2 linked regions of the Caenorhabditis elegans genome follow. The protein of the gene in region 2 purifies or fractionates together with the protein of the main gene of each other region. This does not show direct contact. Each region holds a gene or a part of one and is shown on either strand. Other genes may lie near its edges.

Region 1 (3,416 bases), on a different chromosome or scaffold from region 2:
TGGAGCCACATTTCATGTGAGTCAACCAACAATCTTTGAGTTCGTTTCAGAACAAAACGTACAAAAACGGATATGTGCAATTTTAAGAATTCCAATATTCTAATCGTAGTTTGTGATTCAAATGTGTTTTAACCCACGCAGATACGCGGAATGCTTCAATATAAAATATCACGTCATTCAATAGTCTTATGATTTTTGTTCCAATTGATAAAAATTGGCCTTGCTTGTATCACTTTGTTATCAAACCAATTTTGTCAGTGAATTAGGGATGGGTAAACAAAAAAGATAATTTTAGATTTTAGTAGAAACTTTGAAAATCTAATTTTGATTTAAGAACCTTTGTGTTCAATGAAAAGTCGAGTTAACAAATGCGGAAATTATATTTGATATTATTATTATTTAAACGCGCCATTTGAAATTGTGTTAATTGATTTGAAGATTCCAAGGTAGACTTGTGCACCGAGAATGAACTCACTCTGCTGGTGGGTTCATTTGTTGTTTCAAAAAAACTGATCGAATTAGCTTCAAAAATTTATTAAATTCAAATAAATATAATTTATCAGGAAAAAAAATCAGGTCTCTATAAAACATATAAACATTTCGTGTCTGGCCAATAATGGAAAATTAGAATCCATGGTGTTTCTTGTGATGATGCTTTGAGTTTCCATATGCATCATAGCTTTCTCCATCCCGATGTCTTTCTCCCATTGAAATTCCACTTCCAATACCTCCATTATGATGTCTTGGGTTCTCTCCAATAGAGATTCCGCTTCCGATTCCTCCTCCATTGTATCTTGGAGCAGCTCCTCCACCAATATTTCTACCGAAACGTCTTCCATGATGGAATCGGTGTCCGTGTCCATGCCCATGACCATGTCTTGGTCCTTCACTGTCTCTTCCAACAAATGGATAGAATGATTGGAATGCCTTCATAACATCACGATTCTCATCCTTGACCAATGCCTCAAGCTTTTCGTTGGCTCCATTCCAGGTGTTCTCTTGATCATCAAGAATTTCATCGGCTTTTTCAATAAGATCTCCAAGGCGTTCATAGTTGTCCTTGCGCTCTTGTTTCTTCTTATCACAATCTGCTTTCTTAGCGTCCAAGAACTTTTGCATATCATCCTGAAATAGTTGAACAATAAGTTTCTCTTCCTCGTGGAAAATAATTTACCTCAACATCGTACTGATCAGCCCATTCCTTCAACATTCGAGTCTTCTCAGCTTTTGTCAATTCTGGATTGAACTTGATTCCAAAATAGGCAGTTTTTGCGTCTTGGCTCATTTCCTTCAAAAACTCTGGCTCACGCTTCTTGAAGTCCAACTTTTTCCACGGCTTCACATCTTTCTGAAAGGTTTAACAATTTATTTTATTTCCAGCCAAAAGTAAAAAAAAAAGTTCCCTTGTACTTGGAGTGTTAAAAAAGCGTCCAAATTAACATACTTTTTGGTAGAGAAAAGTAAAAAAAATCTCATTCACTTACAACTTCCGATTTCTCCTCTGAATCTTCGGCAAGAACGAGTCCTACAGCAAGCAATGAAGCTACGATGAAAAATGTCTTCATCCTGAAATCAACCATTTCCATCAAGAAGAAGCAATAAATATAAAGATGCTGTTAACAGTTTGAACCAGTAAAAAAATAAGAAAAAATGAAAAACCATGTCTCCAATTCAACACCTGCCTATCCTTATATATTTGTCAAATAATCACGAGCCTCTTTCATTTTCATTATCATTTTTTCAGTATCTTTCTATTTCTCTAATTCTCTTCAAAGACACAAACATCGACTTCATTAGGTGATAGACAGTAAGTGAAACAGTAAATAAATAGAAGAGAGTTAAGAGAATTAGAGATGATATGGCACACCGGAAGGCGACAAGAAAAGCTATTGATAAGGATGTTAGGTTACTTGGTTTTTTGAGGACAAGTAAACACGACACTTTTGAAGAATAAAATGAAACTGAACAAGAATTCCGAATGTGTCAACAAAAAATCTGAAAAGTACTCGAGGAGCATATAGCATATCCAACTTAGTCGCAGAAATTTGTGCTCTATTGTACTTGCCGCAAAGTGGCAACACGTCCTTCACACATTCAAAACGTTTGATTCAATTTACTAGAGTTCCGCGAATCTTTTGAATTTTTAAATATATTTATTGTTAGTCGTATTGTGTTTCTGATAGTTTGAACCTGAAGGATACGTCACTTAAAAACTATCTTCCGCGTATGCACAAAAGACAAAATACAACAAGTAGGTGACAGGCAAAGTTAATTGAAACAAATGCAAAAGCAGAAATTCGATGTAAATTAGAAAATTAATTCGTAGAGTACAATTTAAAAAAAACACTACATGACCCTGCAAAGTTTATTTGCAAAACAGGTTTTCACTTTATAATTTGCCGAATGTACAGTACTTATCATCACTTGATTAATTTTCTAGAAGTAGAACATATCCTAATCCGATATGCTTAATAGTATGTACTGATAAAACATTGTGCAGAATGAGCAAGTTCGAATTGTTAGACACATGTCCAAAACATAAATAAAAGAAAAAGTGTTTCTCAAATATCCAACTCTTCACAAACAAATTATTTTCCAATTCTTATGGTAACTTATTTCTCTATTCAGGTGCTTCCTTTTACGCATTTGATCTTTTCAATTTATCATTGATATATTTATATCCATATCTATATATCTATATCAGCTTCATCCTGAAGAAACTAGTCCTATAAAACATATGGATGACAATCGCGGCGATTCCTTTTTTCTTCCATCCATTCTCTATAATCACCATGAAATATTTGTCTATTTTATCAATCTTCACACTTTCAATGTTCCATATCCACTGCCAACAACCCTTGCCACTATCCCAATCTCCTAGTTATTATGGAGAATTTCAAGGAGCAAATCTTGGATATCCTCCAATTCCCAATCTACTTCCACAATTTCAAGCGATGAATTTTATTGGAGCAACTACAGAACCGAGACGTACAATTCCAAAACAAGCAGATGGAACCGATTGTCCAATGCCTCCTGAATGTGGTTGTCTTTGTGGAAGAAGTGGAAGGAAGAAGAGAGAGACTGGAGAATTTTGGAAGAATACCGAGGAACCTGAATCTGAGATTAGATGCACATCTGGAAAGTTGAGAAGAGTTGTCGAGAAGGTTAGTTGTCAAAATTGAACTATTTTTAAAGTTTTGATTTATTAATAACAATGCTATGTTAGTCGAAAAACTATTCAAAGTTTTCAGGCAATCTCCAAGGCGACCAAAGAAGGAATTCAATTCGATCTTGGTGTGAACTCTCTCACCAATTATGTACTTTTTTGTCAAGCGGAGGCATGTAAAAATGTTCTTGTCGTGAATTCAAGTTTCTTTTTCAGAAATTCAAAAATCTGCAATTTTCGACGGATTCCA
Region 2 (7,212 bases):
ATAATAAAACGTTTTTGGCGGTCTGTCAATGCGAAAAAGTGATGATGAGAAAATGATAAAACTACGGAAAAAGGTAAGCAGGAGAAGAAAAATTCGGAAGTTTTCGGAAAATCAATAATATCCAGTGTGTGTGCAGCCGACACCTTACGGGTTGCTATCTAGCAGCCGACACTTAACAGGTTGGCAGCGGACATCTCAAGGGTTTTTATTCAGCAGCGGACGCTTAATAGGTTGACAGCCGACACGTTACGGATTCCTATCTAGCAGCCGACACTAAACAGTTTTGTAGCCGATACGATACATGCTCTCACTCAGCAGCCGACGCTTAAAAGGTTGGCAGCCGACCTCTTACGGTTTTTTATTTTGCAGCCGACGCTATACGGGGTTTTACTCAGCAGCCGACACTTAATAGGTTTGCAGCCGACCTCTTACAGGTTTCTATTCTGCATACGACGCTTTACAGGCTTGCAGCCATCACTTCACAGGATCCACTAGGGAATTGTCGGCTGCTTTCAAATAACATAATTAAAAAGTAAAAAATAATTTATTCACGGCAAAGAAAAAGGCAGACAACTTCATCGAAGGCAACAAGAGAAAAAAGAGAAAACATGTAAGAAACCACCCGGTAGTGTGTGGGGATAAATTATGCGGCACAAAGAAAAAAAACAGAAAACAATGAAAACCAATGCTTAGAGGGTCTCCCAGACGTCTTTGGCAAGATTTGGGGACACGTTTGGAGCATTTCTTGGCTCTGGGCCGTATCCGAGGTCGCCGACGAATCTTTCGTAGTCTGAGGATTTCAAGCCGCATGGACGACGGAACTCGTTGCCCTTCTCGTGGATCCATTTGTTGGATACCTGGAAAAACAAGTTAAAATTCGAATTCCTCATGAAATTGTGGTCCTAGAGGTGTTTTTGTGGGTTACTGTAGCTGCGAAAGTACGCAAATACCGATATAAGAAGCGACCGACATTTCGCGGGCTCCCACCAGAAACAAAAAACTAACCCATTTGATTCCGACAAGAACGGGACAGGCGGCGTGACGGGTGTCTGGGTTTCCGTCTCCTTGTTTGTACAAGTTATACCAGAAGAGAGCATCATTCTTGGTGGGCAGAATTGTAGACTTGGCCTCAGTGAAGACGGTACCTCCTCCGTGAGATGGTTGGCTCATCTGAAACAATAATAGGTTGATTTTGAGTCGGCAGCCGACACTTTGCGGGTTGTTAGCTAGCAGCAGACACTTTGCGTTTTGTTAGCTAGCAGCCAACACTAAGCGGCTTGTTAGCTAGCATCAGACACTTTGTGGGTTTAGATAACAGCCGACACTTTGCGGGTTGTTAGCTAGCAGTCAACACTTCGCGGGTTCTGAGTGGCAACCAACAAGCTACAGGCTCCTAGATGCCGACACTGCGCGGGTCGTTAGCTAGCAGCTGACACTTTGCGGGTTGTTAGCTAGCAGCAGACACTTTGCGTTTTGTTAGCTAGCAGCCAACACTAAGCGGCTTGTTAGCTAGCATCAGACACTTTGTGGATTTAGATAACAGCCGACACTTTGCGGGTTGTTAGCTAGCAGTCAACACTTCGCGGGTTCTGAGTGGCAACCAACAAGCTACAGGCTCCTAGATGCCGACACTGCGCGGGTCGTTAGCTAGCAGCTGACACTTTGCGGGGTTAGTTAGCAGCCGGCAAAAATGGATCCCTCGCTGTCGCGTGCGCTAGTGCCGGACAAGTTCAGCGATCTACCTAGCAGCTGACACTTTGCCGGGACTATATGGTAGCCGACAAAATACTGGCATCTAATTAGCAGCCGACGTTTTGCGAGTTATAAGGCAACAGCTGACACTTTGCGGGCTGTTAGCTGGCAGCCGACACTTGACGGGTTTTTGCATTTTAATATAACTCACATAGAACAACACAGTGGCAATACGATTTCCAGTTCCCAAGCTCTCAAAACTCTTCGACTCCTCCTTCTTGGCATGATCGAAATGCGGGTCATAATGTCCTCCGATTCCATAATTCGCAATCTGCAGCTCCTCAGCGGTCTCCATCTCCAAATTTGTCATATATCCGATTCGCTTGTTAACGGTCTCCACAACATCACCCTCCCACTCCTTAAGCCACGCGCTTTTAGAGATACGGTAAGTCGCTGTGACAAGCTTTCCGGTCACCGAGTCGTGGACTGTGGCTCTTGCGAGTTTTGGCTTCGCGAGCTCCTGAATCGCGGCCACCTCATCGTCGGAGATCACGTCCTTGAAGAGCACGGCTAGTGGGTTGAATCTCTTAATTTCCACCTTAATCGGAGCGTAGACAAGGAACGGACGGTCCCGCTTGTAGTAGCAGTAGAGACGGGAGATGTCCTTCTGGGACACTGGAACCTCATTTCTGCACAGAGCCTCGTACATTGTTCGTTCAGTGTTTCCTAGGACAGAGTCGGGACGGCGGTTTTGGATTGGTGGGAGGTTCTTGCGCATGTCACTTCTACGGACGCCTTCTTGCTCGAGAAGGTCCTCGTACCATTTGACATTTCCTTTGGCGCGTGGGTGAGTTGGGTCTGGAAGATTTAGATTTTACAATAGCTGAGTAGCAGCCGACATCTCGCGGTCTCAAAAACTTACTCATTTTGTAGAGCTCCTCTGTAAGCTTTAGAGCGTGCTTCAAGTTGTTCTGCTTGTACAGTGCAAACGCCAGGTATTCGAGAATCTGGAAATTAAATTTTTTGGTGAAAAAAGTTGCATTTAAAATTTCGGCTACTTTCTCATAGCTTTTTGGCGATTTACGCTTGTTTCTCCGCCGCTATTAAAGATATCAAAAATATTTCAACTATTAAAGTATCTAAAACTTAATTTTTTTATAATTTGTTAGTTGAAAACTTTTTGATAAATTCAATACCCGCAGAGTTATCCGCCTTCGAAGTCTACAGCAGCCGACAGATTGCCCCGTAAAGCGTCGGCTGCCATAACTTGCTTCAAAGCAATTAAAAAAAGTTGTTTTACACTTTATTAGTTAACATCTCTCCCGCAGCTAAACTAGGATTAAAGTTATGTTGCAGCCGACATCTTCCGGTTTTGGATTGCTTCTGGACCCGCAAGGTGTCGGCTGCCATAACTTGCTTCGACGCAAGTTTAGCAAAAAGTTGTTAATTAACAAATTGTAGAAAATTTTATTTTACACATTTTAACAATTGACAACCTTTTGATAAAATCTTTCATTGCAGAGATATGCGTGCTTTATTTTAAAATTCAAATTTTTTTGCTAAAACTCTTTATAACTCCACTAAGAAACAAGCTATAAAAAAGTTATAAACTAAAAAATAATGTAAATTTAATTCTGCACAATTCACTAGTTGTAAATATTTTTCTATCTTCCTCTCCAGCCAAGATAACTCACATCTTCCACCTCCACAGTTGGCTCCACCTCGTCGCCGAGTCTTCTCTGCGCCTCCTCCATCCACATCACAGTGTGGTAGAAGTCGTGCTCATTGTAAGCAGCACGGGCAATTTCAAAACAGTCCTTTGCTAAAATTAAAGATAAACTTAAAGTTTGTATTACTTTAAGCTTACCGGAAAATGTGTAATTTCCCTGATCCGCGTAAATCTTTCCATCGGCAAGATCCTTGGTGTCGAGGCGGTAAGTGTCTTGAAGACGGAGGAGCCCAATAGCTGCTCCACTCAAGTCATCGGCTGTTGGGTACCGTACTCCATAACTGTCATCTGTGATTGAAGAGACCACGTTTCCAGCCTTATTTGCGTTCATTTTCGACTCGATCTCCTTCCAGTCAAAGATCTGAAGATTTGTGGGGTTATAGGCCATTTAGAAATTGAGATAGACAAAAGTTGTAAACTGTAAAGTTGTAGAAAATTTTCTGTAACTGGAGCGTTTGAGAAAAAAGTTATGACAGTTATAGCATCCGACATCTCACGGATTTTCAAAAAAAGTGCGGCCAGTGAGATGTCAGCTGCAATAACACAGAAACTGGAGGCTTTACCAATAGTTGGGAGCAGCCAAAATTTTGAAAAGATTTCAACTAAACTTACTATTACTTAGTCAACAACGTTCTCTAATAAAAATTAGAGAAAAATTAAGGCAGCCGATATGTTCGGGTTTTCAAAAAACGTGGCCTGGGAGATGTCGGCTGCTCTAACTTTTTTAACTTTGAACTGGTAAAACAGTTGTCAATTACCAACATTTTGTCAGTTGACAACTTTTTTCTAAAACGCATTTGAAAGAGTTATAGCAGCCGACGCCTTACGGGCTGAAAAAAACGGCCAGTGAGATGTCGGGTGCAATAACTGGAAAACTACGGGTCTGAGTGAAAAATTGTCAACTAACAAATTTAAGTAAATGAAATTTTCTATATTTTGTCAGTTGACAACTTTTTTCTAAAATGTATGGGAAAAAAGTTATAGCAGCCGGCATCTCACGGATTTCTAAAAAGTGCAGCCAGTAAGATGGCGGCTGTAATAACAGTAAAACTACGGGACTGAGTGAAAAATCGTCAACTAACAAAATTAAGTAAATGAAATTTCCTATACTTTGCTATCATAGTTGACTACTTTTTTCTAGCGTTAAAAACAAGTCATAGCAGCCGACGCCTTACGGGCTGAAAAAAAACGGCCAGTGAGATGTCGGGTGCAATAACTGGAAAACTACGGGTCTGAGTGAAAAATTGTCAACTAACAAATTTAAGTAAATGAAATTTTCTATATTTTGTCAGTTGACAACTTTTTTCTAAAATGTATGGGAAAAAAGTTATAGCAGCCGGCATCTCACGGATTTCTAAAAAGTGCAGCCAGTAAGATGGCGGCTGTAATAACAGTAAAACTACGGGACTGAGTGAAAAATCGTCAACTAACAAAATTAAGTAAATGAAATTTCCTATACTTTGCTATCATAGTTGACTACTTTTTTCTAGCGTTAAAAACAAGTCATAGCAGCCGACGCCTTACGGGCTGAAAAAAAACGGCCAGTGAGATGTCGGGTGCAATAACTGGAAAACTACGGGTCTGAGTGAAAAATTGTCAACTAACAAATTTAAGTAAATGAAATTTTCTATATTTTGTCAGTTGACAACTTTTTTCTAAAATGTATGGGAAAAAAGTTATAGCAGCCGGCATCTCACGGATTTCTAAAAAGTGCAGCCAGTAAGATGGCGGCTGTAATAACAGTAAAACTACGGGACTGAGTGAAAAATCGTCAACTAACAAAATTAAGTAAATGAAATTTCCTATACTTTGCTATCATAGTTGACTACTTTTTTCTAGCGTTAAAAACAAGTCATAGCAGCCGACGCCTTACGGGCTGAAAAAACGGCCAGTGAGATGTCGGCTGCAATAACTTAAAACCTATTGCAAACAAAATTACCTTTCTCTTGATCAATAAAAACGCATTGATCGGATTCGTAATATCCTTGAGCCCATTTTCAATCGAAATCTCATTTTTCTTCGAGTACTCCTCCGACAGCTTCTTCAGCTGAACCAGTCGCTCTTCCTCGTCGTGAATGTATTTGTCAAGGATTTTCGGAATATTTCTTTCAGTTTCCAGAAGGTTTTGCATGTCGGCAATCGAGGTGAACAGATCGGCAACTGCATAGCCGATTGTGGCTAGTACAAGGAGTGCCAGGCGCATTCTGAAAAATTGAGAGTTAGGGAATTAAAAACCTGCAAAACGGGAAGCGGATAAAGTTTACAATAAAGATTTGACACAAACGCCAGAGAAAATTATAGCGGCGGACATCTCATGGGTTCGAAAAAAAAAAATCAAAACTGAGCAAGACCCGCAAGATGTCGGCTGCCTAAAATAGCCAAAAGACAGTGCTTACCGGAAAAAAGGAAATTTTGATTTCTTAACTTTGTCAGTTTAAAAAAGTTGTGGCAGCCTACATCTTACAGATCCGGAAACCCCGGGGATCAAATCCCGCAAGGTGTCGGCTACCACACCAGTTTTCCTCAAGAAGCATATAGCGGCCGACATCTCACAGCTTCCAAAATTCTGACCCGCTAGATGTCGTCTGCTTTAACTTACTTCTTGAACTAGCTGCTAAAAAATTGTTAATTGACCAAATATAGGAAATTTCAGGTAGCTTAAATATTAAATTAACAATAACTTTTGTGATTTCAAAGTTCTGGCATAAAACACAAAGAAAGGAAAAAATTGCAAAAGAGGAAGTTGGTTCAGCTATATAAGGCTGGTTTCTCCACGTAGACTTACAACAATTAGATGCGAAAGAAATAAGAAAACGAGACGCAGAAATGAGTAAAACTGACGTTGACTTGATGATAGTGAAAGTGTGAGATATATAGGTTCTTTGGTGTTTAGGGTTAGAGAAATATAACTCAAGCCCATAAAATGTCGGCTGCTAAAAGTTAATTTTTGAATTCGCTTTTTTTCAATTTTTATCACGAAAAACGTTTTAGAAGCATCAACCGAAAAACATTTTTTTTTTGAATTCTGAACCGTTTCCAGTTTTTCAGTTAAAACCCGCAAGACGCAAAAAATTGTGAGTTACAACTTTTGAATGTCTAACTGAAAAACTTGTAGCAGCCGAAGTCTCACGGGGTTTTCGCTAGCTCTAAAACCTATTGAAGTGTCGGCTGCCATAATTTGTTTCGCATTACACATAGAAAAATGTCTTCAACTAACAAATTGTTGTAAATTTTATTTTCTACAATTTGCTATTTACCAATCTCTTGCTATCATTGCTGCAAAGGGAGTTACAGCAGCCGACAACTCGCGGGTATTTTCTGTAAAGTTAACCCAGTGAAGTGTCGGCTGCTATATTGTTTTTATAGAAAAAGCTTTCGACCTAAAAAAAATTTGCAATACTTCTAAAGTTTCATAAATCAAAATCCATGGAAAATCTAAAGAAACGACTGTGAACTAGATTCGTCGCGAAGGTCTTCGGAAATTCACGTATTCTATTGAATCGTAAGTATTTGCAGAGAGGAAGAGAGACGCAGGCGGGAAAAAAATAATTATATAGGTTCACAAAGTTTGAATAGGAAAAAGACAAAAGGTGTCAGGTTGGGAATAATTGGGTAGTTCCAACTGAATTTGAAATGTCAAGTACTGGGCTATTTTAGAATCGCCGGAATTTGTTTAAAAAATTGCCAAAAAAATAGGGAAAAATATTCAAGTTGGTGAACTTCCGAATTCCAAAAAAAAATCCGGCGCCAAAAAATTGGATGTTATGCATGTTTTTAACAGAAAAAAGCAC

Evidence for each region. The genes of interacting proteins can lie anywhere in the genome.
Region 1: the proteins of dpy-18 (region 2) and srlf-7 fractionate together in Caenorhabditis elegans (co-fractionation; one large-scale study listed by BioGRID). This does not show direct contact.

Annotation. Positions count from the first base shown.
Region 1 is NC_003282.8:7,187,437-7,190,852, reverse strand, and holds srlf-7 (SXP/RAL-2 family protein Ani s 5-like cation-binding domain-containing protein), read right to left. Parts: upstream 1,567-3,416; 5' UTR 1,566-1,566; coding exon 1,485-1,565; intron 1,349-1,484; coding exon 1,175-1,348; intron 1,126-1,174; coding exon 625-1,125; 3' UTR 520-624; downstream 1-519. Other genes in the region: C42D4.13 (Ground-like domain-containing protein), read left to right, coding at 2,793-3,164, 3,252-3,338, 3,383-3,416.
Region 2 is NC_003281.10:11,372,356-11,379,567, forward strand, and holds dpy-18 (Prolyl 4-hydroxylase subunit alpha-1), read right to left. Parts: upstream 5,626-7,212; 5' UTR 5,625-5,625; coding exon 5,361-5,624; intron 3,783-5,360; coding exon 3,560-3,782; intron 3,515-3,559; coding exon 3,387-3,514; intron 2,700-3,386; coding exon 2,615-2,699; intron 2,551-2,614; coding exon 1,904-2,550; intron 1,171-1,903; coding exon 1,006-1,170; intron 858-1,005; coding exon 690-857; 3' UTR 531-689; downstream 1-530. UniProt on the Caenorhabditis elegans protein: Catalyzes the post-translational formation of 4-hydroxyproline in -Xaa-Pro-Gly- sequences in collagens and other proteins.